Pelodiscus sinensis: one gene and its partners. The protein of the gene in region 3 interacts with the protein of the main gene of each other region in a pairwise test. Links are inferred from orthologs where the notes say so. Each region holds a gene or a part of one and is shown on either strand. Other genes may lie near its edges. The genes, in order: BAG5, USP15 and MAD1L1.

The links.
Region 1: the proteins of MAD1L1 (region 3) and BAG5 interact in binary tests that used the Homo sapiens proteins (3 or more experiments, as listed by UniProt). The two-hybrid records come from large-scale screens. The link is inferred for Pelodiscus sinensis from reciprocal best matches to the Homo sapiens genes MAD1L1 and BAG5.
Region 2: the proteins of MAD1L1 (region 3) and USP15 interact in binary tests that used the Homo sapiens proteins (3 or more experiments, as listed by UniProt). The two-hybrid records come from large-scale screens. The link is inferred for Pelodiscus sinensis from reciprocal best matches to the Homo sapiens genes MAD1L1 and USP15.

What each region holds. Positions count from the first base shown.
Region 1 is NC_134714.1:20,288,466-20,299,145, forward strand, and holds BAG5 (BAG family molecular chaperone regulator 5), read left to right. Parts: upstream 1-3,422; 5' UTR 3,423-3,446; intron 3,447-3,627; coding exon of another isoform or gene 3,628-3,756; exon of another isoform or gene 3,757-3,766; coding exon of another isoform or gene 3,767-3,799; exon of another isoform or gene 3,800-4,080; intron 4,081-4,258; exon of another isoform or gene 4,259-4,493; intron 4,494-5,326; 5' UTR 5,327-5,354; coding exon 5,355-6,707; 3' UTR 6,708-9,770; downstream 9,771-10,680. Other genes in the region: COA8 (cytochrome c oxidase assembly factor 8), read right to left, coding at 1-13, 3,628-3,756. UniProt on the Homo sapiens protein: Co-chaperone for HSP/HSP70 proteins. It functions as a nucleotide-exchange factor promoting the release of ADP from HSP70, thereby activating HSP70-mediated protein refolding.
Region 2 is NC_134711.1:59,323,206-59,333,885, forward strand, and holds the start of USP15 (ubiquitin carboxyl-terminal hydrolase 15), read left to right. Parts: upstream 1-4,445; 5' UTR 4,446-4,523; coding exon 4,524-4,612; intron 4,613-5,704; exon of another isoform or gene 5,705-5,795; intron 5,796-10,680. UniProt on the Homo sapiens protein: Hydrolase that removes conjugated ubiquitin from target proteins and regulates various pathways such as the TGF-beta receptor signaling, NF-kappa-B and RNF41/NRDP1-PRKN pathways.
Region 3 is NC_134726.1:28,511,687-28,522,366, reverse strand, and holds the start of MAD1L1 (mitotic spindle assembly checkpoint protein MAD1), read left to right. Parts: upstream 1-3,880; 5' UTR 3,881-3,970; intron 3,971-5,979; 5' UTR 5,980-5,992; coding exon 5,993-6,142; intron 6,143-8,492; coding exon 8,493-8,633; intron 8,634-10,680. UniProt on the Homo sapiens protein: Component of the spindle-assembly checkpoint that prevents the onset of anaphase until all chromosomes are properly aligned at the metaphase plate.

The DNA of each region.
Region 1 (10,680 bases), on a different chromosome or scaffold from region 3:
AGAAACTTGAAGCCTTTAAAAAACAAAACAAAAACACCCCACATATTTAATTCTTTTTTTTAAATTTAATCAGAGCATTTCTTTAAAAAGTACAATGTTTTACACAGCTGAGTCAAACCTTAAAATACAATCATGAAAACATAAAAGTTGTGAGAGTTCAAGCTATTTTGATTTAACTTTACACCACTAATTTATATATATATACACACACACACACACACACACACACACACACGGCTTGACAAACGGCAGCGAAACCTACTTGCCAGCCCCGCACTGCGCATGCATGTGCTGCTGGTGAACGGGGCGACCGGCTGAAATCTACTCGCCTGTGACGATAGATTCAGTGATTTGTCAAGCCGTGTGTGTGTGTGTGTGAGTGTGATTTGTCAAGCCGTGTGTGTGTGTGTGTGTGTGTATATATCTAGAGAGAGAGAGAGAGAGAGAGAGCGCGCAATCTGTCAGAGAGGTACAAGTGACTTTGGGACACACAAAGAAACCATTAGATCACACTTTCACTTCATGTCCTGGACAGACTGGTGTATTCATGCATTTGATGGCAGCATAGGAGACTTGTGTACAGGATGAGCCTCATATATATTTTCATTTGCTGGTGTCTTTGTAATTTATTCTTTGCTTGTGTATGCTTGTAAGAGTACACAAAAGAAGTATTAACCAGTGGGGTAAGGAGAACTCCAGGCTACTAACTGTTAATAATTCACTTTTTTTATTTTGGACAAGTAACCTATCTTCTCTGTATTGCAAGTTCCTCAATCTACAGCACCTGGGTGATATTTATGTCAAAAAAGCATTCTGAAGTACATAAACCATTCTCACATAAAAGACAAGGCATATCACACTATAAATTACTGTCTGCTACTACTACCACCAGCAGCATTTTTAAACTTTAAAAGGAACAAAGTTATTAAACACCACATTTTTATTTCTGCATTTATAAATCTTAGCTATAGCTCATAGGCAGGTGAACTAGCAATCATATGTGGTTGCTACATGGGGACAACACACAATGCATAAAGTTAAGTAGATGTATAAATACTTAGACTGAGTCCCTAATCTGATGTTCTATCTTTAAAGAAAGGAATGAATAGGTAATCCCTGGACTGCGTTTAGAAAAAAAATTCTAAACCTAGGGTCTTGTCAAATCAACATTTAGAACTTTTTTTTTCCTAATTCTAATATTCTGAGGAAATTCAGCTTGTATAAAGATTCTCAAACTCTAGCCTCTATTTGTGTGATAATGTAGTAATTGTCTAGAGTTGGATTACAATATAAATAGGCTTGGAAGGACTGGATCTTTGGTGGTAATGTCAGTAAACATCACTTTCAACATATACACACACACCAATTAAAAAATATTTCCATCAATAATGAATTTTATAAATATCCAAAGGAAGAAAAATGTTGCTTGAGAACTTACTACAGCTCAATTTAAGGATATTTACTTTGTATATTTTAACAGAATCATAGAAACATAGGGCAGGAAGGGAAATAAAGAAGTTATTTAATCCAATCCTTTACATGAGGCAAGACTAATCATTATCTAAGCCACCCCTGTTAGGGATATAAGCAACTAGACCCTCCTCCTCTATTAGAGGCAGCAAGAGCCAGTGCTGTGGGGAGCTGGCTTAAAAGCTGGTTCCCCTCAGCACTTGGTCTCCATGGGGGGCAGAAGGACTGTGGGGACTGGCATGAGCCCAGCTGTCCTGACTCGCCCTGAGTCCCCAGTGCTGTACACAGCCTTTTAAATGTATTAAGAGCCAGGAGGTTCTTAATACATTTAAAAGGCTGATGCACAACAGTAGACCCCTCCACCCAAGCTGGCAAAGCTTATTCCTGGCTCACACTGCCCCCCCCTTCCCTCACTGTGCTTCTCCTTTTTAAATGTATTAAGAGTCTACCAGGTCTGATTCCAAATTGATTGCTGGTTCCACCAGACCTTAATGTTTCCCAAGCAACGCATTAATTTATTTGCTAATAAAGAACCACATAGAAATAAAGAGCTGGAAATGAGATTTAATGAGACTTCCTTGTGACCCTTGGAAAATGGTCAACTACAGGCTATTAACATTTTTCTAACAAAACCTATTCAAACAATTTAACAGGAAATTCAAGTAAAATCCTATCATGAGTTAATGAGATGCTGACAGAGAGAAGCCCAGGTAATACAGGGAGACATGATAACCCAGGGAAAATATAGCCCTAGATTCCTGGCTCCAGCTCTGTCCCCCCAACATCTCCTCCTCAGAACCAGGAAAAGAATCCAGGGCTATGTCTAGACTGGCATGATTTTCCGCAAATGCTTTTAACGGAAAAGTTTTTCTGTTAAAAGCATTTGGAGAAAAGAGTGTCTAGATTGGCACGGACGCTTTTCCGCAAAAGCACTTTTTGCGGAAAAGCGTCTGTGCCAATCTAGACGCAGTTTTGCGCAAGAAAGCCCCGATCGCTATTTTCGCCATTGGGGCTTTTTTGCGCTAAACAATACTGCGTTGTCTACATGGGCCCTCTTGCGCAAAAGCATTTGCGCAAGAGGGCTTTTGCCTGAATGGGAGCAGCATTGTATTTCCGCAAGAACACTGAACCTTACATGAGATCGTCAGTGTTCTTGCGGAAATTCAAGCAGCCAGTATAGACAGCTGGCAAATTTTTCCGCAAAAGCAGAAAAACTTGTCAGTCTAGATGCAGCCCAGGAGTCCAGGCTCTAAGTGTCTGGTAGATTCACTGCCAACCAGAAAAGGGAACAAAGCATATGAGTCCTAATGTAACAGTGACAGAACCAAACATGGGACTTGTGGAGCTTACTACAGGAATCTCAAAAGGGGAGGGGAACCTTTTTTTGGGTTGAGGGCCACTGACCCACAGAAAAGTCAGTTGATAGAATTTCCATCCACTGCTCCATTAGTCAGGCACTCCCTATCCTGCTACACAGCTGCCTTTGAAATGTACAAGAGTGCCTAGGGCTCTTGTACATTTCAAAGATGGAGCAGTCAGGACCATCAGCAGCAGTCCCTGCTTGCAGAGTTTCCTTGCTGCACCTTTGCCTCCCCTCCTCCCCTCTCCAGATGGTGCTGGGGGGGGGGGGGGGAGATCAGCTTTTAAGATGGCTCTCCCCAGCACCAGCTCCTGCTCCCCCCCCCCTTTTCTGCCTCTCTCTGATAGAGGGCAGGGGGAGAGAAACAACTAGTCACATATCCTTAATAGAGGAAACTCATTATTCTCTCTGTAAGTAGTCTAAGTGTCACTACACCAGCGAACCACACCCAGCAGGCATGTGGGTTGTACTAATGCCCAGTCCCCAGCTTGCACCCAGGAGAGCCCCAAACCTGTACCCAACATGATGGACAATGGGGCTCCCCGCGGGTCCCCAGGGCCAATTGCATGACGCCAGAGGCAAAGGGGGAGGCCGCCCTCCTGAAAAAGAGCTAGAGGTTTGTCCGCCCGCTCTGCCCATTGGGATCCCCGCAACTCGGCGCCCACTGGACCTCAACGCAGCCCAGGCGGGGCGGGCTCTCCCTGCCCCAAAACACGGGGCAGGACCTCGAGTTCCCAGCGCTAACCACCGCAGCCCCGGCCTCAGGGAAGCCTGCCCCGCACCCTCCGCCTGTTTACCGGGCTCTCCGGCTTGTGGCCGCGCACGGGCCCCTCAGCGGCCAGGCGCCCCGCGCCGCCCCCTGCTCGGGAGAAGCCGCGGCGCGAGCCGAGCCACCAACGCCCCACTCGAGGCGCTGCGCCCGCCATCGCGCCTCACCCGCCTCCCCGCTGGCGGCGGCTTTACGGCCATGTCGCAAAGGGAGGGCCGCCCGAAACTTCTCCCTGAGGTGCGGCAGGCGGCGCAAGCTGCGGCCTCCGGGAACCCGGGAGAGCGGCTCAGTCTCTTGGCTGCGCAGCTCCGGTCACCCGCCGCGCTCTTCCCTCTGCGGCCCCCGCCGGGTGAGGGCGGGCTGGGGTTCCCGGGCTCGGGATAGCCGCCGTTTGGCCCGCGGTACAGGCCGGTTGGAGGGGCCCGCCGGGGGGACCCAAGTTCTGTCGGGGACGGGGGGAGAACAGCGCCTGTCGGGCCAGGTGAGGGGCGGGGGCTCGGAGGGAAGCTGAGCTGGTTGGGGGGCGGGGGGGTTGGCTGCCTGGAGAGTGGGGGCAGCTGATGATGGGGAGTTGGCGGGGAAGAGGGCCTGGGTGCCGGGGCCCTGGGGATATGGAGGACGGGGGAGGGGAGGCGGGGGGGGTCTCCGCGGGGGGGCGGGGCTCTGCGATAAAGGAGACGCTCTCAGCCGCCTGAGGCCCCCGCTCGGTGCCGCCCCCGGGCTCCGGCACGCGCTCTCCGTTCCCCCGGGACGCCCCCATTGTGAAGTCATCCCCTGCTGGTGGCGCGGCCCGGCGGATCCAGGCTCCTCCTGCAGGGATGTAGCGAGCCCGGGCTCCGGGGGGGATCGGGGCCTGCTCCAGGGGATTGTCTTCCTCCAAGGCTGCTGGCTAGGGTAGGCGCCGTCCTTCATGCTGCGGTGGGGGCTGGAGACCTCAGGGCCAACTCCGCATCTCTATCGTATGCAGGGGCCGCGGTACTGGGGATGGTTGTGGTCGCTGCTTGAGGACAGGCAGGTGGTGGTGGAAGGAAGAGGGGGCCTCAAATGGGCTGAAAAAAGCGATGAAAGGCGAAGAGGGGAACGTGAGAGAGATTAGTGAAGGGCCGAGGGGTGTGGATGAAGGGCCCTGGATGAGGTGCAGAAGTGTTTAGGGGTAGTTTAATGTGGGAGAAGGGTGCCAGGTGGTGTAGACAGACAAAGGATGCTGGATGGGGGAGAAGGCTGGTTAGATTTGCTGAGGGTACATAGATATGGGCACAAAGTGTTGACAACATTAGTTGCCTCAGCAGTGTTATAATCCCTATTTTGAGTAATGCAAGTGATTGAGAGGGGAGTATTTACCAGTTGGGGGGGAATCTTGCACTAAATTAAGAATTGGAGGTTGCCTCCTTAATTTTCTTCATTATTGAAATAACCCATTTTTCTGCATTGATTGTAAACATTATAGCTCTGAGAGTGAATAAAAACTTCTAGCTGTGTAAGTTCAAGTGTATATCATTTAATAGGAGCTTGCAGACATCATTAGAGAGAGATGTACAAAAGAACAGTGACATACTGTATGGTTTGAAGTTAAGTGCGTCACTCTTTTTAACTTTCTCGTACATTCTCTGTACCTTTAAGTCAAGTTAATTTATTAAATATTTTAGTGTCATGAGGCTTTATAAAAGTTGTTGGAATTATGAAATATTTGTTTAAAAATTTATCAGTCATTCTTGCCTCCTTTACAGCTCATTTGAAACTGGAGGAAATAAGATAATGGATATGGGTAACCAACACCCTTCCATCAAAAGGCTTCAAGAAATACAGAAAGAAGTCAGAGATATTGAACAGCAGGTGGTGATTTTCAGTGGCCTGTCTTCTGACAGGGATTACAAGAAACTGGAGAGGACTCTGACTAAACAACTTTTTGAAATAGATTCTGTAGATACTGAAGGAAAAGGGGATATTCAGCAAGCCAGAAAACGAGCAGCCCAGGAAACAGAAAGACTACTCAAAGAATTGGAGCAGAATGCAAACCATCCACACAGACTGGAAATAGAGGCCATATATAAGGAAGCTCAGTCATTGGTGGAACGTGAAATCACACCTTTTTATAAAGGTGGCAACTGTATAACTGATGAATTTGAAGAGGGTATTCAGGATATTGTATTGAGACTTACTCAAGTGAAAACTGGAGGAAAAATCTCGCTACGGAAAGCAAGATACCGCACTCTGACAAAAGTGTGTGCAATTCAAGAGATTATAGAAAACTGTATAAAACAGCAACCTTCCTTGCCACTCTCCAGTGATGCACATCCTTCAGTCTCAAAAATTAACTCTATTATGTGTGATGTAAACAAAGCGAGGGGTACTCTTATTGCAGTCTTAATGGGAGTAAATAATAATGAGACTTGCAGGCATTTATCCTGTGTGCTTACTGGTCTGGTTGCTGATTTGGATGCGTTGGATGTTTGTGGCCACACAGAAATAAGAAATTACAGAAAGGAAGTGGTGGAAGAGATTAATAAATTACAGAAATACCTGGATTTGGAAGAGGAAGCAGACTCTGCTCATGCTTATGACTTGGCACAAAATCAATCCATTCTAAAAATAGAAGAGATCCGCAAAAAAATGAAAGAAGTTCATTCTTTAATTTTCAGAGCAGAAAATGCTTCTGATCTGTTCTTGGGATCCAAGGCAGAACTTCAAGGTTTAATTGCCCACTTGGATGAAGTGAGTCCAGGAAAGAACCCATGCATCAGAGAAGCCAGGAGAAGAGCAGTGATAGAAGTGCAAACTCTTATAACATACATTGATTTAAAAGAAGCACTTGAAAAAAGGAAATTGTATGGTGAACAAACTGTTGTAGAACACCACTCCCATAAGGCAGTCTGGAGTGTTCTTGAACATTTGTCTCAGATTCAGAGGGAAGTGCTGTCTTTTGATGGAAACCGAACTGATAAGAACTATATGAGACTAGAAGAGCTCCTCACTAAGCAACTTCTGACACTTGATGCTGTTGATCCACAAGGAGATGAACGGTCTAAAGTTGCCAGAAAGCAGGCAGTAAAGCTTGCACAGAATATTCTTTACTATCTAGACATGAAAACAGATGAATGGGAGTACTAGGAAAATAGTGGCCTCATGTAAGGTGTTGCTTTCCTTTTTTGCACTTTATGTAGACTGATAGCTCCCATGAACAGCACATGATTAAAAGTTGTGTTTTTATATTCGCTCGAATTGTGGAGATGATGTAAATAGTTGGCTTGAATATATGGCAGCTATCCCACATTTTTGCCCACTTGCCATGACAATTGTCAGTACACCGTTTTTTCCATTTTGGTCACTATGTTATGTGAGAGAGATGGTTTTCTTGAGGAATTGCATAAGTATCAGAATCTGTAATATTTGGTCAAACTGTTTGGTTTTTCTTCAAAAAAGCATGTTTCTCAAAGATGCAGGAATTTACTTAAGATACAGTACTAGAAAAACAATGAAAAGAAGACTGGAAATTTAAGATTATTGGCCAAATGCAAGGTTAGATCCATCAGCTTTACACCAGCATTGACATATTTATAATGTATTGTTCTAATCAAAAGATTAAATATAAAAGGTTGGCTTTTCATTTGTTTTTGATTTGGTTCCATCCATTTCACCTTAATGTGTTTTTAGTTTTATAATGTAGCAGTATTGTAATATAGAATGACTTGGTTGTGTCCATTTTCTTGTGGCACTGGGCATCTAGGAAAGAATCCCTCAAGTTCAGACTGTCCTCTTATTGGAAGGTAGCTATGAGACTTGAAAGACAGATATTGATTAGATAAATGAGAGATTTTTTTCTTTATACTGCCATCCATAAATCCCTGAAAACTGCATTGAACTATCTTTATTTGCCATTTAGCTATAATATAACTCAGTTTTTGGATCTGGATTTGATGAGTCTTCTAAAACAACCAGTGAGAATGAAAATCACTTTAAAATGACTTAAGTCAATGGGTATTTCTGATTTAACCATGTAAATACAGTTCATCACAAATTGTTCGTAATGTATGTTACATTTCACACTGGCCATGTAATCTCAAACATAAGACTCAGAAAAGGCTTGCTTGTTGTCTTTTCTTTCAACTCAGTAGCAGTTAGGTTAGCCCTGCAGCTTGTTAAGTAAACCAGATCATATTTCTGCATGCGCTTTCCTCTTCTTTGTGGATATAGGAATTTAGTTGCCAGTATCATAATTCTACGCTATCATATTTTGGTATTACACAGAATGCTGCTCTAAATGGAATAATGGGTCCAAAATGTGTTGTTTCCCACAGAGCTCCTTTCATGTTAGAGTTATTGCTTTGTAGAGGGTTATTTATTTGCAACGTTTTAACAAGTGTAAATTTCAGATATTACACTGACTACAATAAATATTGGATATATATTAATACACATTAGAGAAAATATTTTTGTGAGATAAGTGCCTTTTACTGACACCCTAAAATTATATTGTTACATATAAAGGAACTCTTTGTCTAATGGCAGCATGCTGCATTTAGTTATCTCTACCAACTGGATTTTTCTATTTACTATTCAGCTATAATACACATCAAATTAAATAAAGTGATATTTTAGGAGTCAGTTATGACTAGAGATTTGAAAGTGGGACTTTCACTCAGGAAGTTCAGATTTTGTTCCCAACCCCACACAATGATTTGCTTAGTGACTTTGGACAAGACAGCCACACCTCAGATTGTAAGAAGGGGATAATAATGTTTACTTACCTTTTTATAAAGTGCTTTGAAATCTCTAGATGAAAAGAGCTATATACTTTCAAAGTGATTTATTTTGATTAACTGATTTTTTTTTTGTTCTGTTGACTTCTTTGCAAATCATTTATCAATGATTTCTTTAATTAACTATAGTCAATATGTCATAGCCCAATACTGATGATGCATTATTTGGATACTTCTCCTTGTTTGTTTCAATTAATGCAGGGCCTTACTAGTACCCACACTGCTTCTCTTTTTCTTTAAATCACATCTGAGTTGAACTGTAATTTCAGTCTATTTTTGCATTTCCTATTTTATTGGCTAACACAAATTACTAATGGTATTACACATCTGAATTATTTTGTTCATATTTATAAAGGTAATTTAAAACTCTGGGAAGTACTTTAATTGTAGATATAATTTCTAATATGCATTTGTAATATGTGACATGTAACAGTTGGATAATGTTTATTATATTTAACTCCTATGATAATTGTTACTGTCGGGTCTCTTCAATTGTTAGATGTACAGCCCTTGTTTTAAAAAAAAAAATCAAAATATTCATATTCCTCTGTAGGTCATGTGAAACTTTTTAGCATTTCTGATTTTTTTCTGTAAAGGTAAATAAGATACTTTATATTTCTTTCCATTTAAGATTTGCTTATCTTAGCTTTTGTGAAAGACTGAATCTCTAAAAAGGAAAATGCATCAGAGTGGTTGAATAATGATTAACTCAGTAGATTCCCATACCAACATACTGTGTTAACTTGGCTTTTAGCTTTAATCATCTTCTGCTCATGAGGTAAATGTGCAGCATTTAAAAGTTGTGGAGTTCCTAATCGGTGCAGTATTTGTAAGCAGTTTCTGCATGAACAGTAAACTACATAAGCTAAACCAAAAAAAGTTTGGTACATGGATTTTACGGAATCCTGTTTCTGTGCTGAAGAATGTAATTTTTGTGTTGTATACATGATGACAGAGAAACACACCTGCTTTCTGACAATTAACTATCCACCAAGGTGTAAAAGGACCAACTCATCCAACACCTATATTTTTATTAAGTGGAATATACAGATTTTTGTGGGTGGGGTACTATTACATGTTTTCAAAGAAATGAATGGGGGTGTATGTGTGTGATGTCTTGAGAAAGTTGTAAATCATGATACTTATTAATTTATAAGCAAGTTTGATTTGAAGTAGCTTAGTCTCGATTTTGTGGCAACCCACAACCATTTTCCCCCTTCTTTCCAATTTAGTGGAATTTGGTTTTTTTAAGTATGCTTAATGGAAAAGTTTGTAATTAATTATTGTATGTGAATCTTCTTTAAAGTGTGTATATCCACATTTATCTATATTCATTAAATTACATAGGTACAAATTCAAAGTTAAATGTTTTATTATATCCTTAATTATTAATAAAATGCTTTGTTGCCTTGTACTCACTGTTGACTTTAATGTTCTATTCTATTGCCTTTTTTCATAAATTTAAGAATGCTAATTATCAGAATATACGATAACTGATATTTCCCTGACAGAAAGCTCAGATTTTTTCTTAAACATATAGAGGAAAGTTTCTTATTTTTTATTTTCCTAAAAAGCATCAGTAAAGAAATTACATTTTAAAGTTCAAACTGTGGGATTCATTCATCTCCCTGTTAAATCTTCTTCAATCTGCTGTATTACCCAGACTGCACATAAAATAATAAAATAATTTTTAATTTTCATTTTATTCAGTGCCAACCTGTTCATGGAGTCTCTTATTTTGGTTCTCTTATGATTGTATAATCTAGTATTACCTTGTACAAAACCATCACAGTGATCCTTATGTCTGAAGAGTGAAAAACTCAATAAAAACCAGTCAAGCATAAAATTGTGGTTTTTAAAAATAGTATGATATGTTTAAATAATACTGAAATAACCATTGTATATTTTAATGGTATGCATCCACCCAAAATAAAATGTTCAGTTTTAATTATTCTCTCAAAAAACCCACCCAAATCCCACCTGTAGAGAAAAGGAGGTTCGGAGATGGGCAATGAAAATTTCTATTCGTGTAGAAAGACCTCTCTGTAGGAAGAGGCACTTGATAGAGAAGAATGTTAGTTTAGTGAAGGGGACATCATAAAGGAATACAAATGAGTAGTAAGGAAGGTAAATCAGTCACTAATTAAAGAAAATGAAGTCAAAAGATCATCCAATGACTTTGAAAGCAACAAAAATTTAATCTGTAAAGCTCATTGCATAAGATACCAAGGCAACTAACAGTTTAGCATAATTTTAAGATAGTATACAGTATTCTTCACTGATCTCTAAGGGCATGTCTACACGCGGGAGTTATTCTGAAATAA
Region 2 (10,680 bases), on a different chromosome or scaffold from region 3:
CTAAATATTGCTGATTCTTGGTATAAGGGGCCATTTATCACAGAGATAGGCTCATTTAGTTGGCAGGACAGACCAGTGTACCCAGGAACACTGACATCAGATTTTAAAACTGGTATTTTTGACTAGTAGTTTCTACATTCTAAAATTTTATAGAATCAGCCAGCTCACATTTAAAAAAAAATATATAATTAAGATACCCTTGGCTCTGGAAGGGTTTTTTCCCCTCTTTTTTAAAATTCAAAATAGTTAATTCAAGCACGTACATAGCCTGAAGTGTAACATTTAAAGTTGGGGGGCCATGCTGGTAGGAAGGTTCAGGTCCAGTCTCTGGGGGATATGAGGCCTTTAGGAATTGTTGATTGAAGAGGAAGCCCACCTTGAACTCAGTCTGAAATGGTTCCTATCCCATAGGACTGATTCAGCTTCCTCCCCTAGCCAATCCCCTCTTCTTCCCCCATTCTGCTGCCATTGGCTTTCACTACAATGTACAGGTGAAGGTCTCCCCTGTGATAAACTGGCCATGGTGCCACTGGATCACCTGTCCCAAGCTGGACTGTGGCAGGTCAAAAAGTAGCTGGGCCATAGCCCTCTGAGTCTGGCACCTATGCAACTACTGAGAGAAGAGCTTTACAATAGGGACATAATATCCTGGTTAATCAGTTTAGCATTGAAATGTTCTGATTAATTGCTTAACAGATTAAATGGGGCCTGCGCTGGAGCTCCCCTCCTGGCCACGGGCTGGGGGACTGCTCCAGCCAGGCCAAGCCCACCGTGGCCAAGGGCTGCTCTGGTGAGGCTGGGCTAATTGTGGACAGAGGCTGCTCTGGCTGGGCTGGAGCGCCCCTGCCTGCACTGTGGAAGGTGCCTCATAGCTGTAACAGTCACCTACCCATTGCAGGCGGGGAACTGCTCCAGCCCACTGATTAACGGTAACCAGTAAGCATGAACCAGTAAGGGTGATGCTTATCAAATATGGTTAACCATTCATGGGCCTGTTCTCTCCCCCCGAGTGCTCCTCTGGCCGCTGGGGGCATTTTCTGTTCCCCTTCCTTCCCCTGCCTGCCCAGGGCATTTTCTATTCCTCCAGCACCCCCATCCTGGTCCCCAGAGGTGTTTTCTTCCCCCCCCCCCCCCCAGCAGTACCACATAGCTGAGAACAGCCTCTTTCTCTCCTCCGGTGCTGTGGCCAAAGGCAGGGAGGAGGGCAAAGGGTTTGGGGCAGGGGGACTAGTTACCTGGCGTGTTTGCAGGCAAGATAGTGGAGCCTCAGTGCTGCTCGCCACTCCCTTGGTGATATGGCTTCCCCCGTAGGATAGCTCTCTCCTGCGGGCTTGCTGCCTCTAGTGGCCACTTTCAGTATTGCATCCCTTCAAACAGGACCTCCCCTTGCATGTTATAGGAAACAGTCCTGTTCCTGGGCCTTCCGGTTGTCCTGGCACAACCAACCCCCGACCTTGCTTTAAGTTAGGAGAAAAGGAAGCTGAATGCCAAATATGGTAACCCTACCTCTAACTGTTTAGGACAGTGTTTCTTAAATTATGTTCCGTGGCACACCGGTGTGTTGCAAGGCAGTCGGAGTAGTGCCGTGGAGAATAACAGAGTTCAAAATGGCTGCCCTTAAAGGGGTGGGTGACTTTTTTTTTTGCTCAATAACTTTTCCCCCAACCTTTTTTTCCCCTCAATAACTTCCCCCTGACCTTTTTTTTCCTCAAAAAATCCTTGATGTTCCTCATAAAAATAATTATTGTTTGGTGTTAAAAAGTTTAAGAAACAGAAAGACTTGCAGATAGACACACAAAGATGCACTCTAAATTATATATAGAGAAGATTACTTCATATTCATAAAGCATTTGAAGATACAGAATACTGCGTAAGGGCTAAGTATTTATGGAAATATTTTTTAAACATTGTATTACATGTATTAAATAAAATAACCCCAATAACTCTTGAAGAATAGACTTGTTAAAAAAACAACCTCTTTCTCGCATGTAGGAGCTAAATATTAAACAGTTTCATTTTCAGTTATCCTAATTCTTCAGCTGAGACAGAGTTCCAGATCTATTCATTGCAGATCAAATACCCCATCTGACTGTACAACCATGCAATAGGCAGGAAGGTGGAGATTGCTTCCCTTAGTGTTATTACAACAGTCAACTTGATCCCATTACAAGACAAAAATTAACTTTTGTGCAGCCTTGTTACAATCATTAGTTCTCATGCTTCTCAGCTTAGGCTGAATAGGTCATTTATATTAGTTCTAGAATAGCCACCAGCAACAAGCTATGTACTAGGGATGATAAAAAACATTTATTTTTGTAAATATGTAATTGCTGAATTTTTTAGTGGTTACACATTTACATGCAGGGGGTCAGGCACCAGCTGGTGCTCACAGAAAGCAAGTTCCTCATGGGCATGGGCTTCTCCTCACCTTGCTGCGAGGTGAGGGGTTTGTGTAACTGTTAGGATTAACTGGTGAGCTCAGACTTATTGGTTAATTGTGTAAATGAGTACACACTAACATTCCTATTATGTACAAAGACAATATTTCTGTTTATTGAAACAGTTGCTCTTGCCCTTTCTCCCATTTATTCCTCTAAATAGATCATTAAAAAAAAATCTAATCACCAAAACATACCCTAGCTATTTGGAGGGCCACAGCAGCAGCCAAGGACAGTTCAGATATCTTTCTTGTTAGGATTATGATATCATCATCATCATCATCAATAACCATGGGCTCTATACTTGTTGGTGTCCAATGCCTCCCTATTTCCTTCCATCTTTCCCTCTCTAGTGCGGAGTGGCTTAGTTTCTGTAGACTAGCTCCGCACCAATCTACTATATCATCTACCCATTCTCTGTGGGGTCTGCGATATGCTGACCAAAAATGTGTATTTCCTTTCTGTATATTCATTGCTGTTTATTCTTTGAATTTTTTGCAGTTCTCTCCTCAGCAAACAACCTATTCTTGTATACTCAATTATCCACAGTATCCCGGTTTGAACAAGTCTTTAGTAGAATCTACACTACTGAATACATACAGCCAGTCCCCGAGTTGCAACGGTCGAGTTACGGTCGCTTTGTAACTCAAAGGGGTCCGAGTTATGAACAGATCGAGTTACGGCCAAGTGTTTGGCCCGTAACTTGTTCATTACTCTGGGAGAGGCTGTAATTAAAAGTAAGCATATAATACAATAGTAAAGACCATATGCCTAGTGTATACAATATTGAAATACATCTTTATGTAATTCCAGATGCTGCATGTAAATTAACTATTGATTTAAAGACAGACATATGCATATATACATATATACCAGGGCTATTCAACATGTGGCCCGTTTGTTTGCGGCCCGCTGTTGCAGTTTGGGTTAACATGGGGCTCATTTTTTGAGGAGTACAGGATCTTTCAAAAAAGGGTTTTTTTTCCCCTGAAAGAACCACATCTAGACATCGATTTTACTTTCAAAAAGCCCTTTTTCGAAAGACTACCGCCATTATACAAATGAAGCACGGGAAATTCAAATCCAGGCTTCATTTGCAATTTGTATCTGTCTAATTTTCATCCCTCTTTTGAAAGAGTGATGTAGCTTAGACATAGCCTGAAAGTCCCAGGTTATGTGGGGGAGAGGTCTTTTATTGGACCCACGATGTCAGTGAGAGAGACACTTGCCAGGCCTGGAAAAGGCGCCTGCCTTTGTTGGCCAGAGATTTTGAGACTGCCCCAGGAAACGTGTCTATCTCTCCATGCCAACAGACTAGCATGCAGTAAGAGACACCGCCTCACCCCACTGGGCTCTGGGGCTTTGCTGCCAGGATAGCGGGGTACTTTACGCTGGCAGGTGGCGCTCCCCGTCCTGCCCCAGACTGGCAGCTCTTTTTTCTCCACCCGAGGGGGTCTTCTGCGAGACCTCTCAGAGCTGCCGGAGTTCTACCAGGAACTCCTCCAGACTTGGAAGCTGTTCTCGGCAACCAGGTCCATTGTGACCATTGTAGGGAATAATTCTGGACACTCTGGATGCAGGTGAAAAAAAGTCAGAGGATTTATTACACACTCAGCGCTGGCGGAGTGACAACCAGGGGTTAACCTGGTGAACACTGGTTAAGCAAAACATTACAGTAGATTATATAGGCGGCAGATGGACAGAGGAGAAGCAATTTGATAGGGTCTGGAGGCAAGACGAAATGAGCACGTAAGCCAATAAACTACAAAGGTTACATAGCATCTCCGCGACGCAGGGCCAGGCGCACGCGGCTTGGAAGAGTCCAGACCTGTGATAGCGGCGCGTCCCCGCTCCCTCTCGCCTGCTCCTCCCCCCGTCACACCCCGCCACAGGCGGAGCGGAGCCCGCCAGCCCGCCAGAGGGCAGCAGCGGCTCCCCGCGCCCGCAGGTCACGCGCGGTCTCCCCTCTTGTCTCCGCCTCCCTGTTGCGGTGGCGAGGGCGTCTCCCAGTTGGCGTCACTCCCAGCATGCAGCGCGGCCCGCTCCTGCCCCTGCTGCCGCCGCCACCGCCGCCGGGGGGAGAAGATGGCGGAGGGAGGCGCGGCGGATCTGGAGACCCAGCGCTCGGACGTCGCGGCGCTGCTTAAAACCGCCCTGCGCAAGGGCGACACCTGGTGAGGGAGGGGCGGGGGGCGGCGTTGGGCCCTGGGGCGAGCGGGTTCCCACCCTGGGGCCGCTGCGCTGTGGGAGGTGGAGAGGGGCCGATAGGCTCCCTGCTGGTAACGGGGCGGGCCGGGCCCTGCACCCACCCACCCTCCCCGGGGGGTGGCGCCCGCGGCTTCAGGGGACAGCGGGGCTCGGGAGCGGCTGAGGCCGAGCTGCAGGTGAAGGTGGGGGCGGGGCCGCGTTGGCCAGCGGCGCTGACTCTTCCTGTGTCCATGAAGTCTGCCTCGGCATGGTCCGAGCTGCCAGGGCCCTGCGGCTGCCCGGAGCAGGTAGCTCCCGCCGCTCTGGCCCGAGCCCAGCTGGGCATGCGGGGGAGTTCCGTGTGGCCAGGACAATGAAGGGCCTGGGATTGCCGGGCGTTTGGCCGGCGCCGGGAAGGGGGCGATGAGCAGAGCTCGGTCCCTCCCTTCCCCCCGGCAGGTACCTGTTCCATTATTCAAACATAAACCAGGGAAATGGCCCCACCTGCCCTTTCGGGTAGCGACAGGTTTCATATTTGCCAAGCGGAGCATCCCAAAAAACCTTTCCCCCAGTCATGCTAGGCCTCGGGTCAAGCTTATCACTCCATAGCGTGAAGCCTCTGAAGGTGCTAGCAGACAGTGCTGTTTAATTGTAACTTTAATCTGTTCTTGTGTTCAGATGTCTTGTATCTTTAGGTTTCAGTTTTTTAATTGACAGGAGATCATACAAACTGCCTCATGCTTATGAAGCATGAAACAGATCTAGTAATTCCTTTTATTTGCTTGGTGTTCAGTTACAGGGAATTCTCAGATTCCTGGTTCCTAGAAACCGTCTCCTGAGTAAGATAACTTGAAAAATTCTTAGTACTTCCAGGAGGACTAATATCTTCCCTCCCATTCACACTCCTACCCACGCCCTGAAGTGTCACAAATTTAGATTTACTTAAAAGTAAGTGTGATCCTTAGAAATAGACCACCTACATCATTTTGACTTAATATGTCACCACTTGCTGTTCTAATTCTGTAAGATATGGTATTTAATGGTGGTGCTGCTAGAACATGTGTCAGAGCCATACATACATTCTGATGCATTATTCAAATGCTGATGAGTAGATATTCGTTTCTTGGCATAAGAACAAGTTGGTTTTAAACTCTGCAAAAGTAGAAGCATCTAGAAAAAAGGGAGCCAAGTATAATTAACATATTAATACTGAAAATAAGAAATAAGTTTGGGTCAGACCAAAGGTCTGTCCAGCCCAGTACCTTGTCTGCCAACAGTGGCTAATGCCAGGTGTCCTAGAGGGAGTGAATCGAACAGGTAATGATCAAGCGATCTCTCTCCTGCCATCCATCTCCACCCTCTGACAAATAGAGGCTAGAGACACCATTCCTTACCCATACGGCTAATAGCCATTTATGGACTTAACCTCCATGAATTTATCTAGTTCTCTTTAAACCCTGTTATAGTCCTAGCCTTCACAGCCTCCTCAGGCAAGGAGTTCCACAGATTGACTATGCGGTGTGTGAAGTAGAACTTCCTTTTATTTGTTTTAAACCTGCTGCCCATTAGTTTCATTTGGTGGCCCCTAGTTCATATATTATGGGAACAAGAGATGATTAATAGTGTTCTGTTTTGAAAGGGATTATCACTGTGACCAGTGTTTCTTGTTTAAGTGCAAGGAATTACACTCAAACCAGTAGTTTCTTCCATTTTGAATACTGTTAACAGTGGCCATTGTCTTGCTGCAGAATAGGAGGATAAAACAGTAAGTTTAACAAAAGTCGACTTTTGAACATGTTCAAAAAATTCTGTTGACTTAGATAAGTGTAAAGGGGCAGCCACTGTTGTTGTTTTTGCAGATACAGACTAAGTCCTGTGGCAACTTAAAAACTAACAGATTTATTTGTGCATAAGCTTTTGTGAGTAAAAACCACTTTGTCAGATGCATGGAATGGAAATGTATTTGATAGATATTAGTATAACGGTGTGGTCAAAATGGTTGTACAGGTTGAATCTAGTGCAGCGCTCTTGGGACCTGACCAGTGCTGAGCCAGAGAATTTGTGGAACCATGGGAAGTCAATATTTTCTAGCAGCAATACCAACACTCCCACTGCTTACTGGGCTCTTAGAAAACATTTAGGGGTAAATTAGAGCTAAATAACAGCACAGAAAATTGAGAGCCGGGACCAGTGGAGATAAACGTACTGCAGGAAATTTGGCCATACCCATGATATGTGGACATCTGGCTAACTAAAATCACTCTGGACCAGAGAGGTTCAACTATATTTTCTTCTGTATATAATATCAGACACTAGGTCTGAAATTTAGTATGATTGTAAAACTTCTGCAAAAAAACTGCTTATTTTAAGAGGCAGAGCAAGTATAAAAATGGATATGAACCTCTTACTGACATCAAGTGTTCAAATAGTAATATAGTAAGTTGGTAGGTTTTACGAAACAAGGTTACCTTTATAGTATTTCATAATAAGACTGGGTAGTAGCTTCTTTAGCATTGTTATAAGCAAGAAAGTAGGTCTGAAGCAAGCAGCATATCACAATTCAGAACTTTGGTAGTCATTCATACAAAAGAAAGTTATGCTGACAAAAAATGCATGCCAACTTCTATTCTAACTTACTTTGCTCAGGGTTAATGACTGGTTTACTCTGGCTAGCATATCTATATGTGCTGATAGTACTACGTGGCTACGTCTACACTGGCCCCTTTTCCGAAAGGGGCATGCTAATTTTACAGGTCGTTATAGGGAAATCCGCGGGGGATTTAAATATCCCCCGCGGCATTTAAATAAAAATGTCTGCCGCTTTTTTCCGGCTTGTAGAAAAGCCGGAAAAGAGCGTCTACACTGGCCCCGATCCTCCGGAAAAGGGCTTCAAAGTAGGAATCCTTCAAAGTAGGAATAAGAGAGCCTCCGGAAAAGGGCTTTTTTCCGGAGGATCGGGGCCAGTGTAGACGCTCTTTTCCGGCTTTTCTACAAGCCGGAAAAAAGTGGCGGACATTTTTATTTAAATGCCACGGGGGATATTTAAATCCCCCGCGGATTTCCCTATTACGACCTGTAAAATTAGCATGCCCCTTTCGGAAAAGGGGCCAGTGTAGACGTAGCCCATGTGATAAATATGTTTGGCATTTCAATGTACGTATTATTGAGCAGTAGTATAGCAGTTATGCATCCTTGATTGGCCTGTACCCTTGTTAAAATCCTATACATTTATGCTGAAGTAAACCTTTCCTTGAATACCTAGGAAAACTAATTATAGGACATATAGGGCAAGAGGAAAGGAAAGAAATTATCCATACAAACCAAGAGGGTACCTGGAATGCATTTGCTCTGAACAAAGATAAGGGTATGTCATTACGTAGTATGCATGGGTTCAGAATAAAAGATCAAGTGTTCACCATAGTACCAGAAATAAGGCAAAAAGTTGATTACATCCTGTTTTCGGTGACACAGGAGGGGTGGGTGAGATTCTGTGGCCTGTACTGTGCAGGGGGTCAGACTAGATGATCATAATGGTCCCCTCTGACCTTAAAGTCTATGAGTCTATATGAATGAGAGAGCGAGAGAGACATACAAACTTTTTAACAGGTAAATGTGTTGGTATACTGGTCTGGCTCCGGAGGGAGTTCAAGCTGCCTCACTACAAGGAAGCAGACTGAGTTAGTAGTCCTGCTTCAGGCTGGAGCTGCAACAGTTTGGCTAGTCCAGCCCATGTTTGGGCAGAACAACTGTCAAGATGCCCTAGTTCAGAGGGCCCTGGTGCCGGGGGCCTATATTCCAGCTGAACAGAAGTAAATCGGAGCAGCTTGGGCCTCTGCCCAGAACAGCAGTCAATCAGAGCAGCTTGGGCCTCTGCACAGATTGAGCGCCAGTTAGTATGCCCTTGGCCTAGCTCAGGGTGGGGCCACAAACAGCAGGCTCAGGCTTGTGTACAGGTTGAGTAATGGTCAGTAAGCCCATAACCTTGTTCAGGGTCGGGTGAGGAGCAGTGCAAGGAGTTCAAGCTAGGGTTCAGGCCTTAGTTCAGGGCAGGGCAGCAACAGGTTCAGGGTACTCGGCCTGTGTGCAGGCAGAGCAGGGTGGATAAAATCAGTGATTTTTTAAAAATAAAAAAATCATATTTTTTATTTAATTCACATTTTTTTAATAAAATGCTTTTTGAGGAAAATAATATCCCAAGATAGCTTTGAGCTAACACATACCTTAATTAAAACTATCTCATGGAATAGGGATTATGAATTCTAATTCTATAATATGTAACAATTAAGGAAAGTTTTGTAAATGAGTTCCAATAGTTCATGGATTAGGGACCCAATCTGATAAGGTCCAGAGGCTTCTGTATAGATCATTTAGGTTAATTTTTCTATTTACCCAATGGGGCTAATCTAGAAGATAACCTCAGAGATGCTTAGTTTTTCAGTTCTCAAACTGTGGATTTCATAGAATACTAGAACCTCGGAAGGGACCTCGAGAGGTCATCGAGTTCAGTCCCCTGCCCTCACTGCGGAACCAAACACCATCTAGATCATTCCTGAAAGATGTCTATCTAAACTATTCATAAATAACTCCAATCATGGAGATTTCACAACCTCCTTAGGCAATTTATTCCAGTGTTTAACCACTCTGGCAATTAGGAAGCTTTTCCTAATATCATAACTAAATCTTCCCATGCTGCTGCTTGTGTTATCAGAGATCAAGGATAAATTTTTTTCTCCCTGCTCCTTATACTGCCCTTTTTGGTACTTGAAAATTATCATGTTCCTTCTCAGTCTTCTCTGTGTCACGCTGCTGCTTTGAAATGCTGGGTGGAGCCCAAGATCATCTGGGGACTCCCCTGCTAGACCCAGGCTGTGCCAGCTTTGAAATATACAAGAGTCCCCAGAAGGGGCTCTTGTGCATTTCAAAGTGGAAGCACCCGCATGGAGCCTGGAGTCAGCGGGACTTCCCGCTGGCCCTGTGCTCCACGCAGCGTTCTGCCTTTGAAATGCACAAGATCCCTCACTGGGTCTCTTGTACATTTCAAAGGCAGAATGCAGAAGTGCTTATGGACTAGTTGATGAGCAAATTAATTGCTACTTAACATCCCTACCGAGAATCATATTTGCTTTTTTTGGCAACAGTGTCACACTGGTGACTCATATTTAGCTTGTGGTTCTTTATGACCCTTAGATCTTTCTGCAGTACACCTTCCTAGAGATTTGCTTCCCATTCTGTATGTGTGAAACTGATTGTTCCTTCCTAAGTGCAGTACTTTGCATTTGTCCTGATTAAACTTCATCCTGTTTACCACCAATCATTTCTCCTGTTTGTCCAGATCATTTTTAATCATGACCCTAATCTCCAAAGCACTTGCAACCTCTCTCTGCCAATATCTAAATCGCTGATGAAGACACTGAACAGAACCAGTTCCAAAACTTACCCCTGCGGAACCCCCACTTGTTATGCGGTTCCAGCATGAGTGTGAACCTTAATTACTACTCTCTGAGAAGAGTAATCCAGACAGTTATACACCCACCTTACAGTAGCCCCATCTAGGTTGTATTTCTCTGATATTTTGTGGATAAGGTCATGTGAGATCATGTCAAATGCCTTACTAAAGTCTAGGTATACCACTTCTTCTGCTTCTCCCTTATCCAGAGGACTTGTTTTCCTATCAAAGAAAGCTATCAGATTAGTTTGACATGATTGGTTCTTTACAAATCCATGCTGGCTGTTGTGTATCACCTTATTTTCCAGATGTTTGCAGATGAATTCCTTATTTATTTGCTCCATTATCTTTCTTAGCAAAGAAGTTAAGCTGATTATTCTGTAGTTTCCTGGGTTGATCTTCTTTCCCTTTTTATAGCTGGGCGCTCTATATTTGCCCTTTTCCTGTCTTCTGGGATCTCCCCCAACTTCCGTGATTTTTCAAAGATGATAGCTAAAGGCTCAGATACCTCCTCTATCAGCTCCGTGAATACTCTAGGCTGCATTTCATCAGACCCTGGTGACTTGAAAACATCTAACTAAGTAATTTTTAACTTGTTCTTTTTCTGGT
Region 3 (10,680 bases):
AACAGTTTCTTGCCACTTTAACCAGAAAGGACACTCTCTAAATGACTTAGCCACCTGCATTCTGCTACAAAGACCTTTTACATCTGCACTTGAAAGGGAATCCTCTGAACTGTCATTCATGTTAAAATTCGACACTTATCACCAAGGACTTAACAAGACTTTGAACTTTCTCACCCATTACCAAGACAGTTTCCCCAATTATCACCTGTAATACCATTAACTCACAAACATCCCACTCTCCCTACCTTTAATATCAGCAATTCACAGACACTTACCTTCCTTCCTCCCCCTTCCCACCCCCCCGCATCCCCCTTCTGTTCTGCAATGTGATTTGTCCTTTTCATATTTGTTCATTTTTTTTAATTGTATCCTTTGGTATATATGGTTGTGACTACTTTCTTCCACTATTTGATCTGAGGAAGTGGGTCTGGCCCACGAAAGCTCATCATCTAATAAACCATCTTGTTAGTCTTTAAAGTGCTACATTGTCCTGCATTTTGCTTCAACTACCCCAGACTAACACGGCTACATTTCTATCACTATTCTTTTATGTGTAGACACTCTCTTTTGGAAGAAGTTTTTCGGCAGATCTCTTTCGGAAAAGTTTGTTCCGAAAGAAGCCTGAAGACTAGACTTAGCCCAAGAGGCCCACCTGACCTCATTTTCCTCATGCATATTAATTCCTTTTTCTCATCTTCGCTGCACCTCCATTCTTGTCTTTCTCACGTGCAAGCAAAGACTACATCAGACCCCACCTAGCCCCTGGCTTCAAGTCTGTAGCCTCATGGCTCCTCTCCACAAAGGTGCAGACATAACCCTATTTACACTCTCTTACCACTTACACATATCCATGCACTCCCTTGTCACAGGATAGAATGTTACAGAGCTTAAAGATTATATAAGCAATAGCTGGAAGTTACAAAGCTTGCAAAGAGGTTGCAGAACTTGAAACATTACTTGAAAATTACATGGCTTGCAATAGAAACTGATATAACTTAGAATAGTTGAGAGTTACATGGCGTACAATAGAAAGTTTTGGGACTTGCAATGGCTGAAGCTGACGACTTAAAATAACAAAGTTACCTGACTTACAATAACAGAAAATTACATGTCTTACATCCACATTATACCAGCTTGGGCGGAGGTTTTACACAACAGTGCGCACCCACTGTCTTCTTCCCTGTGGTGGTGGTAGGCGCGCACAGCATGCTGCCCTGCTTCCCCATGGTGGGGCTGTGAGGAGGTGGCTTGGCTCCTATGGATGTGAAGGACCTCAGCCGAAGGTGCGAGGCTGGGGATGGGGCTGAGGGCTTGCCTCCCCCAGCCCTACCTTCACCAACTGCCTGTGCTGTAGCCTCTGTTTGTCAGAAGCTTGAAATGGGCAACAGGAAATGGATCACTTGACGATTCTGTTCTTTTCATTCTCTTTGGGGCACATGGCATTGGCCACTGTCAGCAGAGAGGATGTTGGGCTAGGTGGACCTTTGGTCTGACCCAGTATGGCCATTCTTATGTATAAAACCTGCCCGTGGGGGATGGGAATAAAAATAAAACACTACTTAAAGATTTGTGTACATGTGTGTGTTTCAGATTTCTACTTTGTGATCATAGTTATACTTTGAACTAAATGCAACGCAGCTGTCATGATACTGAAGAGAAGGCAGCTATCATTCAGTTTTACTTCTGAATTTTTCCTAAAAGTGCAATTTATTAGCACATTGTGCCAAATAACTATATGGGCTGAAAATTTCCATGCCAACTATCTGCCTTAGGCTGAAGTGGTTAAACTGTTTCTAAGAGAGAGGCTAGGAAAATGCATGTTTGCCTGTCTTAAAAATGTTGGGTGACTTATTCTTTGAGAAGATCTGTTGTGCTCAGGCTTTGGAGCAAGGTCTTGAAGCTTATAAGAAGAGTAGCTTTCTTGTCATGGATATGCCTTTTGTTGTCCGCATGACAATCCAACCACATTTAACCAGCTCAACAAGCCTCTGAAAAATCAGTTTTTGCATGTGCTGAGTTGAGCCCTGTTAGAGCTTGGTAGCTAAATTCCCCGAAGACTGTTTTCATCTGGTATGCTTCTATCTGAGCTGAGCAGGACTTTTTCTGAAATTAGAATTCTAGGCTACTGAACCCCAACGAAAGCAAAGTGCTGGAGACTCTCTCATGCAGCATCAGGAGAGAGCTGGTCAGAATCACTTGTACACACAGTGGAAGCGTAACTGGGAATCCCAGTTTAGCATTGCAAGGAAGTTTACAAGGTATATATTTTAGTTACTGTAATGTATTTTGGACTTTTGCTTAAACACATGGTTTGATTAAACTACACCCTCTCTCTAGTGTGGCTCAAGCTAGCAGTGGGCATCCTTAATTCTTTTTTTTAGTTAATTCTTTAGTGAATTGCTGAGTTTCCCACCTTCATATTCATCAGTTCTAGTCAGAAGGGGCAAAGGTGCAATTGCATACCAAGCCCGAGGAAAGAAAATGGAAGTGAGAATTCATAAATTCTTTATCTGCTTACAGAGGGACAGCACCAGGAGCTTAAAAAGGTTCTTCATTCCCTTTAGGCTTTTTTGTTTTCCACTGCCCATAGTGAACCTTGAGCATATTTGCCTACTCCTGACAGCAGTAATGCTGGTCACTGACTTCAAATCCAATGTAGACACAGTTATATTTGCTACTGAAGTTGTTAGTCTGTGGTAGCACTTTGCTTTGAAAGCTTAGTAGAGAATATGTGATCAGGTCTGGCTGCCCGTAGGTGCAGCCTGTGGTGTGTATCATCCTAGGAGTCCCTCCTGATATTTCTGTCTGTGAAGAAGTGGCAGGTGAAGAAAATCTGCAAGTGCCCTGGTTCAATCCAATAGAGGAAACTGCACAGTGCAATAAGTGGCATGTAGGCATTGTTGTCACTATGGTCAGGAGTTGTGAAGATCTGGATGGATTGGGTGGGTTACTCACTCTCCTGTATGTTGACAACATAACTTCTAGTATGGTGCCTCCCGCCTTGTTGGAGAAGGGATGGTCACTGGCAGTGTGCCCTCATGTCCTTTCTGTAAAGGATGTGTCTCTTATTAGAATCACTACTTTGTAAACATTTATATTGCACTAGAGCTTAGAAGCCCAAAAAGAAATCCAGATGCCGGGGTATCAGACTCTCTGCAGTGTTGCAAAGCGGCAGCGCTGCAGAGCGTGGGGTCAGTTAACTGCTTTGAAAATCTGCGTGCAGCCCAATGCTGGGCTTCCCATGGCATTTCAAAGTGGCAGCACTACACAGAACTGGGGGTCAGCTGGGGAGTCCCCAGCTGATCCCGGGCTCCATGTGGTGTTGCCACTTTAAAATGCCACATGCAGCCTGGGGACATTCCAGATGGCCCCCAATTGCACGTGGCTTTTCAAAGCGGCAGTGCTGCATGGAGTCCAGGGTCTGGCCCCCCGGCTTCAAGCAGCACTGCTGCTTTGAAGTGCTTCCTCTTCTTTCCCCCTTGCTACCTCTACCTCATAGAGACAGCAAGGGGAGGAATCAACTAGTCAACTATCCTGTCAACTATTGGATAAGCATTTGCTTATGGGACAGTCGACTCGTCCCTATACTGAACAACCACAGCCTGAGCAAGCTGGTCAGACAGACTTGCTCTGGCAGAGTTGAAACTGGAACCCGGTGTCTCAACTCCTACTCCAGGGTCTGAATCACAAAATCATCCTCCCAGATACAGCGTTGCCATGGCACCGTCAGTTTTTACTCTACCACACTGGGGAAATAGGAACTTTGTGCATGCGCCTAGCGGTAAGAGGACCACGGAGCTACCCCTGGACGCACGTATAACCCGAATATTACGGTAAAGTGTGTGCGTCGGGGGGGAGGAGGCGGGGCGGGAAGGTTCGTCTCGCGGGAGCTGGGTTCGAGTTCTCGTGAGATCTCGGGGCAGGACGAGGAGGGAGATCCAAGCAGGAGGCGGGGAGCCGGCTGCTGTGGGTGAGTGCGAGAGACCCGCGCGCTGTCTCGCGCCCCGGGCGGTAATCGGATTGGCTCGGCTCCGCCCTGCAGTTCCGTGGCAGCACAGGCGTCTTCCCGCCCTGACACCCCCCCCTCCCGTCGGGGTCCCGCGCTCTGACCCTGACCCCCCCTCAGGCAGCGCCCCTCCCCCTGTTCCCTCTGGGGCAGCGCGGCAGGGCCCCTCCCTCACACTGACTCCTGGGGGGGGGGCAGCAGCAGAGGGTCCCGCCCCCAACACTGACCCTCCCCAGCCGGGGCAGCCAGGTGGGATCCCAGGGGAGCAGCAGCACCGTAGGGTCCCCCTCGCTGGCGCTGAGCCTCACCAGACACCCCCAGCGACTCTCCCCTGGGGCGGCAGCAGGACACGGCCCCCTGTGGAATTCCCCCTCTTCTCCCGGGGAGCAGCGCAGGGCCCCATCCACCCAATACTGTACCCACCTGGGGCAGCAAGGCAGGGCCCTGCCTCACGTGGGCATCTGTACAGGGTCCTGCCCCTTCACCTCGGGCACAGAACCTCATCCCTCAGGGGAACAGCCCTGCCCCAATTTAACCCGGTCTCCAATCTGCCATGTCCTGGGGAGGGGTGGACACATCGCTTCCAGATTGGTGCACATAACAAAATTCATTCTGCTGAGGGATGTGAAGTATTAGAGGGAAATATGAGGAGAGGTTAAAGCGACTGGGACTTTTCAGTTTAGAAAAGAGGAGACTGAGGGGGGGATATGATAGAGGTATATAAAATCATGAGCGGTGTGGAGAGGGCCGATAAAGAAAAGTTATTTATTAGTTCCCTAAATAGAAGAACTAGAGGACACCAAATGAAATTAATGGGGAGCAGGTTTAAAACTAATAAAAGAAAGTTCTTCTTCACACAGCGTGTTGTCAACCTGTGGAACTCCTTGCCAGAGGAGGCTGTGAAGGCTAGGACTATAATAGAGTTTAAAGAGAAGCTAGATAATTTCATGGAGGATAGGTCCATAAAAGGCTATTAGCCAGGGGATAAAATGGTGTCCTTGGCCTCTGTTGTCAGAGGCTGGAGAGGGATGGCAGGAGACAAATCGCTTGATCATAGTCTTCGGTCCACCCTCTCTGGGGCACCTGGTGCTGGCCACTGTTGGCAGACAGGATACTGGGCTAGATGGACCTTTGGTCTGACCCAGTACGTCCGTTCTTATGTTCTTATGTTCTTATGGTGGTGACCTCCATACCATACCACTCTTAATTCTTAACTGCTGCTAGTGGCAACACTGCCTTTAGAACTGGATGCCCGCCTAGCAGCCATTACTCTGAAGGCAGGGCAGAAGTAAGTGTGGCAATATCATGACACCCCTACGATAGTCAAATTTCATAGTCTGTGTTGCAGTTTTTCACACCCATGAATTTGGCAGGGCCCAATGTATATGAGAAGAATGTGGACTCGAGCAGGGGTTTTCACAATAAAATTTGTGGTGACCTCAGAGTGCAGCCACCAACTCTTGCTGGTGGCTGCCCTGGCAAACCTGTCTCTCTATTTCTGCCATCTGGGAAAGTGGGTCATGAACTCACCAACTGTGTGCAGTGTCCCAGGTTTCCTGGGCAGCAGTGGGAAAGCTACCTGGAGGAGCATCCCAGAAACTAAGAGCTGCATGCACTGTGTCTCCAGAGGCACTTCCTCGAGCCCCTGAGGAGGTTGTGCTGTGCAGGACAATGCTCCCTACTGGCAGTGCCAGTGTAAACATGAAAGCGGCACATTTTGCTGCCCAGGAGCAACAATTGGGCGCTGCAAGGAGGAACTGCTGCTTTTGTCCCCATACTCTGCTTTGCCCTTCTATGCTGTAGAAGCTATTGTGGATGCAAAATAAATTCTAAAAAAACCTTCTTGTGGCTGTATTTGAGAAATGCTTTTTCAGAATGACTTGAAGAAGGGGGTATGCTTACCTGATGTTATAGCGGTGAATAAGATTGCCCTGGATGTTTCACTTTTGCCTTTGTGTGTCTGTGTTTTACAGCAGAGAGCTCACCATGGAGAACTCAGAGGACAATACAACTGTGTTCTCTGCCTTGCGATCTCTCAACAACTTCATTTCACAGCGTGTGGAGGGGGCATCTAGTCTGGCTGCACCAGGATCACTTCCAAGTACCTTGCATATGCAGTACCAGCAGAGGGTTCAGGTGAGACATCCCTGGTTCATTCACACCTGGAGTTAAGAATTTAGATTTATTTTGATATCAGGCATGGGAATTTTTTTAGTTAAGAAACAGAGGCTGTCCTTTCTTACATTGCTATCCCAACATTGCCAATGATGGAGACAATTTGCTCCCAAAATAAAACTCTTAAACCCATTCATTTAAGAAAAAAGTAAGTTATGGGCCTGACTCTTTGTCCTGGTCAGTATTCAATTGGTTTTCTTCAATTCTCTCCCTTTAACTTATCTGTAGGTCAACTTAGGCAGCTGTATTTTGATTTCATCTTGCCCCCATGACTGAGCTTAACTGATGGTTTGCTCGGGGTGATGGTCAGTTTTTCCTGCCTTGTCCATTTCTTTCTTGAAAACATACTGTTAGGTGTGCTAAACTATCCATGGCATTTTTATGATATTGACTCTGAGGACTGAATTGAGATCACCAAATTAATTCTATTGGGGACCTCAATCTGGACCAGAATTGTAGTCTTTGAAGCATAAATTTTAATTTACTAAACCAGTCTTCATGGATGCTATAGCGATGGACACTTTAGCAATGTCCAAGATGTCTTACACAAGTTTTGAGTTTTGTAGCTTTGTTATGGATCTCTAATTATGTGTCTGAGTGTAAAGTAAGGCCTTGGTATCTTTATTTAAATTTCCATTGCATTTAAAATTGTGTGGCTGGGTCCCTGGGGACTTGGTAACCTATTAGCTAGGTTGCTGAGTAGGTGGGCAGAAAAGGGGGAGGGAAGCTGGCCCTCTTACCACTGTGTTTCTGGCCCAGGAACTCCCAAGCCATTCCCTGTTTCAGTCTGGGAAATGGATTCAAGAGTCCAAATTCTTCTTACAGTTTCAGTTTCTCAATATGTTCTCCCTTTTCCCAGAGGGGTGGGGGCTTACTTGTTCCCATGGCTGCTGGATGGACAGGATCTGGTTCATGCCCTCAGACCCACAAACCAAGCTCCTGCCTCCTCACTTTAGTCAGCTCCAAACTGAGCCATGTTCCTTCCTTTTCTCCTCCTTCTAGGCCTAGCATCCTTGCAGGTAAAGTGAGGTGGGGCTAGCTGAGCCCAGAGGTTTCTTTAACCCCTGGGATGCTTGACATTCCTTTCTCCACTCCCTCAACATTCTGACTATAACAGGGGTGACCAGCCTAAACCTGAGAAGGAGCCAGAATTTACCAATGCACATTGCCAAAGAGCTGCTTATATATCACAGCCCTGATCATATCTCCACACCGCTCTCAGCACATCCCACCCACTGGTCAGTCCCTCCTTCTCCTTTTCCTCCTGCCCACTGTGATCTGCTCTTTCTCAGTGGGAGACACTGGAGGAGGGAAGCATGAGTGTGACAGGCTCAGTGGAGAGAGTAGGAAGTGGCAGGATCCTAGGTGGACAGCGCCTAGGGCAGAGCTGGGGGTTGAACAGTGAGCACCCTCCAGCCCAGTGGAAAGTTGGCACCTGTAGCTCCAGTCCTGGATTTGGTACCTATGCAAGGAGCCGCATATTAACTTCTGAAGAGCCGCATGTGGCTCTGGAGCCACAGGTTGGCCACCCCTGAACTATAATATTTGAATGTCCTTAGTCTTTTTTTTTCTGTGTTGTAAAGTCTTCAGTGAAAATATGTTCTGATTTAGGATTCTGATTTAACATGGAAGAAGTATTAATGTGTTATAAACAGGGCTCGCCAGCCGCGCGGTTCTGCTCTCTGTGCATGCGCAAGTAGATTACATTATTTGTCGAGCCCTGGTTATAAAGACAAAGTATTCTGTGCATCCTCACAGCACTGAAGGAATTAACAGGAGTCCTGGTAGTAATTTTGCACACACAATGCATTCTCAGAAATAAAATTTGGTTGTAACATGTATGTCAGACCTGGTACTTTGCTCTACACTTAGTTTCCCAGATGTAGGTATTGGGCCTGATCTCTGTTCCTTGGCTAGCTCCTGTTTCTTTTTTGAAAAGGCCAAAGAAATCTGAAATAAGAATCTTTTTTTAGTTTTGTGTGTTGTAAGTGTATTCTAGAAGCAAACTTCTCCAGTGATTGGTGTGGGAAATTTGGACCTCAAAGTTCACCCACATGTCTATTCTCAGCTGTCACTGATTGACTTTGTGGCCTTGGACATGTCATTTAACTCTTGGTCCTCAGTTTTCCCATCTTCTAAATGGGTAGGACAATACTTACCTGCGCCCATCTATGACATGAAGGGTTAAATATATAAAGTTTGTAAAATAATTTGAAAGCCAAATCTGGAGAGCACTGTAAAAATGAAAAGTATCATTGCTGTTCTGCTGATTGTGTGTTTTTGTGTCTATCTTCACGTGGAAACTGATCAGTTAGAGGAACAAGCTGAGCAGATTCATTCCAAATCTCAGCTCTTGCAAGTGGAACGGGAGAAGATGCAGATGGAGCTGAGCCACAAAAGAGCTCGCATTGAGCTGGAGAAGGCAGCTAATACTAATGCCAGGAGTTATGAGGTAGGTAAGCATTCGTGCTGTCTGGCAGCCAAGGCTCCAGTCATAGCATCTTGAGATCATTGAAACTGTTGCATGGCTGACAGATAGTCTGATGTTGATCTGACCACTGGATACTCTGTAAGTTTGTTTATTTAGCACTCTGCTCATCAGTATAAAACAAAAGGAGATTCAGGTCTATTGCATTACACTTTGATTATTTCAGAAGTGTTTAAACTTTATTGGCACAATTGCAAACAATTAGTATGTTTGACTGTAATGAACTGGAATGATAACACCAGTCATGTGACTGTCATACAGAGAAGCTGCATTGATAAGATGCTGAGCTTTAGTTGTGACTAATAGCTTTTGTTGCCTTCTGGTTGTGTGCCCAAATGTGTTTGCTTCGTTATGTTGCTAAAATAAGCAGCACAGTTTGTGGGCTGTGTCATCCTCTTAGTGCCTCTTCAAAATTCATCTGCTAAAATAAATAAAAAAATAAATCTGGCAAAATATTATAAGGATTCTGAAAGATAGATTTATTCTATAGCTGTGAAATAGTGGGTCATTGAGTAAATTCCTAGTTCTGCTTCAAGTCACGTGATCTTGGGATTAAGCCAGGAGTGGTTCAAACCTGAATCTAGCTGAGTCACTCTCAGAAACCCTTAAAATACTGGTACAAAAAGGGAGCAGCACTAACTCAGCAGAGTGGTATTACCATGCTCAAATTCAGTGTTTCATGAGTCATGTGGATAAAGGTTTCAGGAATCTTGTGTTGTCTTGCATAATTCTTGCTTAGCATGTAAATCTGTGGCCCAAATTGCTTTGATTTAGCAGAGAAATTTATTTATATTTTTCAGTAAGTGCTACTCAATTTGAGAGAGAAACAAACTTGAAATGGCATGTGAAATGTTGTCAGAATGCCAATAAAATAATCTGGCTGAACACTCCCCCTCCCACAGTTGCCAACTCCTAAATCTACTCCCATATGTTGGTGGTTTCATTGCACTGATTATTTATATCAGTGTTTCTCAACCTTTGTTTATAAAGTATCCCCCCTTTTTTATAAAGTACCTACAGTTTTCAGACACACTTTTTTTTTCCTACCATTGCAACACATTTGTTTAAACAACTTAATCGTAGCTGGGCGGTGAAATTTTAAAGCACTGTAAAACTTAAAACAAAAATTCAGTTTTCTCCACATTTCAGTTGTGTTGACATACCTCCCCAGACTTCTCTCAAGTACCCCTAAGGGTACTCGTACCACTGGTTGAGAAACACTGGTTTATACTGTGTCTTTAAGAGTTACTTATTTAAGATTAAAATATTTAGATTTAAAATACTCTAATGCACATAGAAATTTCAAAGAGAAACGGATTTTGTTACTCCAGATATTAAGGTCCCAGACTCAGTGAAATAAACTTGTGTAAGTGTAATTGATGTTTGAGCACATGTAAATTATGCTGTGCAAACCATGAAGCCATCTCTGAGTTTTAAGTTCATACATCACTTCAGAAAGTGCTGTCTAGTAATTCTTTGGCTTCATTACCCTTTGTTTCATTCCCTTGTCATTGAAAAGCTGCCAGTAAGATATTAGCTTTTCTACTGGGGGGGGGGGGGGGGGATGGCTAGCCTGCAGGGGGTTTTCTGGGATACCAGTGGTATCCCAAAAAAACTCCGCTACGTCCAGGGAATGGGTTTGCTCTTCCACTTTTTTTTTGCGGAAGAGCAGTTGTGCTCTTTCAGAAACCCCTGTATTCCTTGTTCCACAAGGAAGAAAGGAGCTTTCGAAAGAGGGTTTTTTCTTGAAATTTGGCCCAGTCTAGATGGGCCAAATTTTGGAAAAGCCTCTTCCGACAAAAGTATTGGAAAAAGATACGCAAAATGCGGAGTGCATTTTGTGTATCTTTTTCTGCTAGATCTTTGCAGTCTAGCTGTACCCAGGGGGAGGAGGGTTTAAGAGATTAGTGTTTGTTGTTAGGGTTGCCTGTGAGACTATAGGGGGCAATGAGGAAAGGATGATGTCTTCAGCATTGTGGTCCTTTCTTCTTTATGAAGTCCCTTTATATTT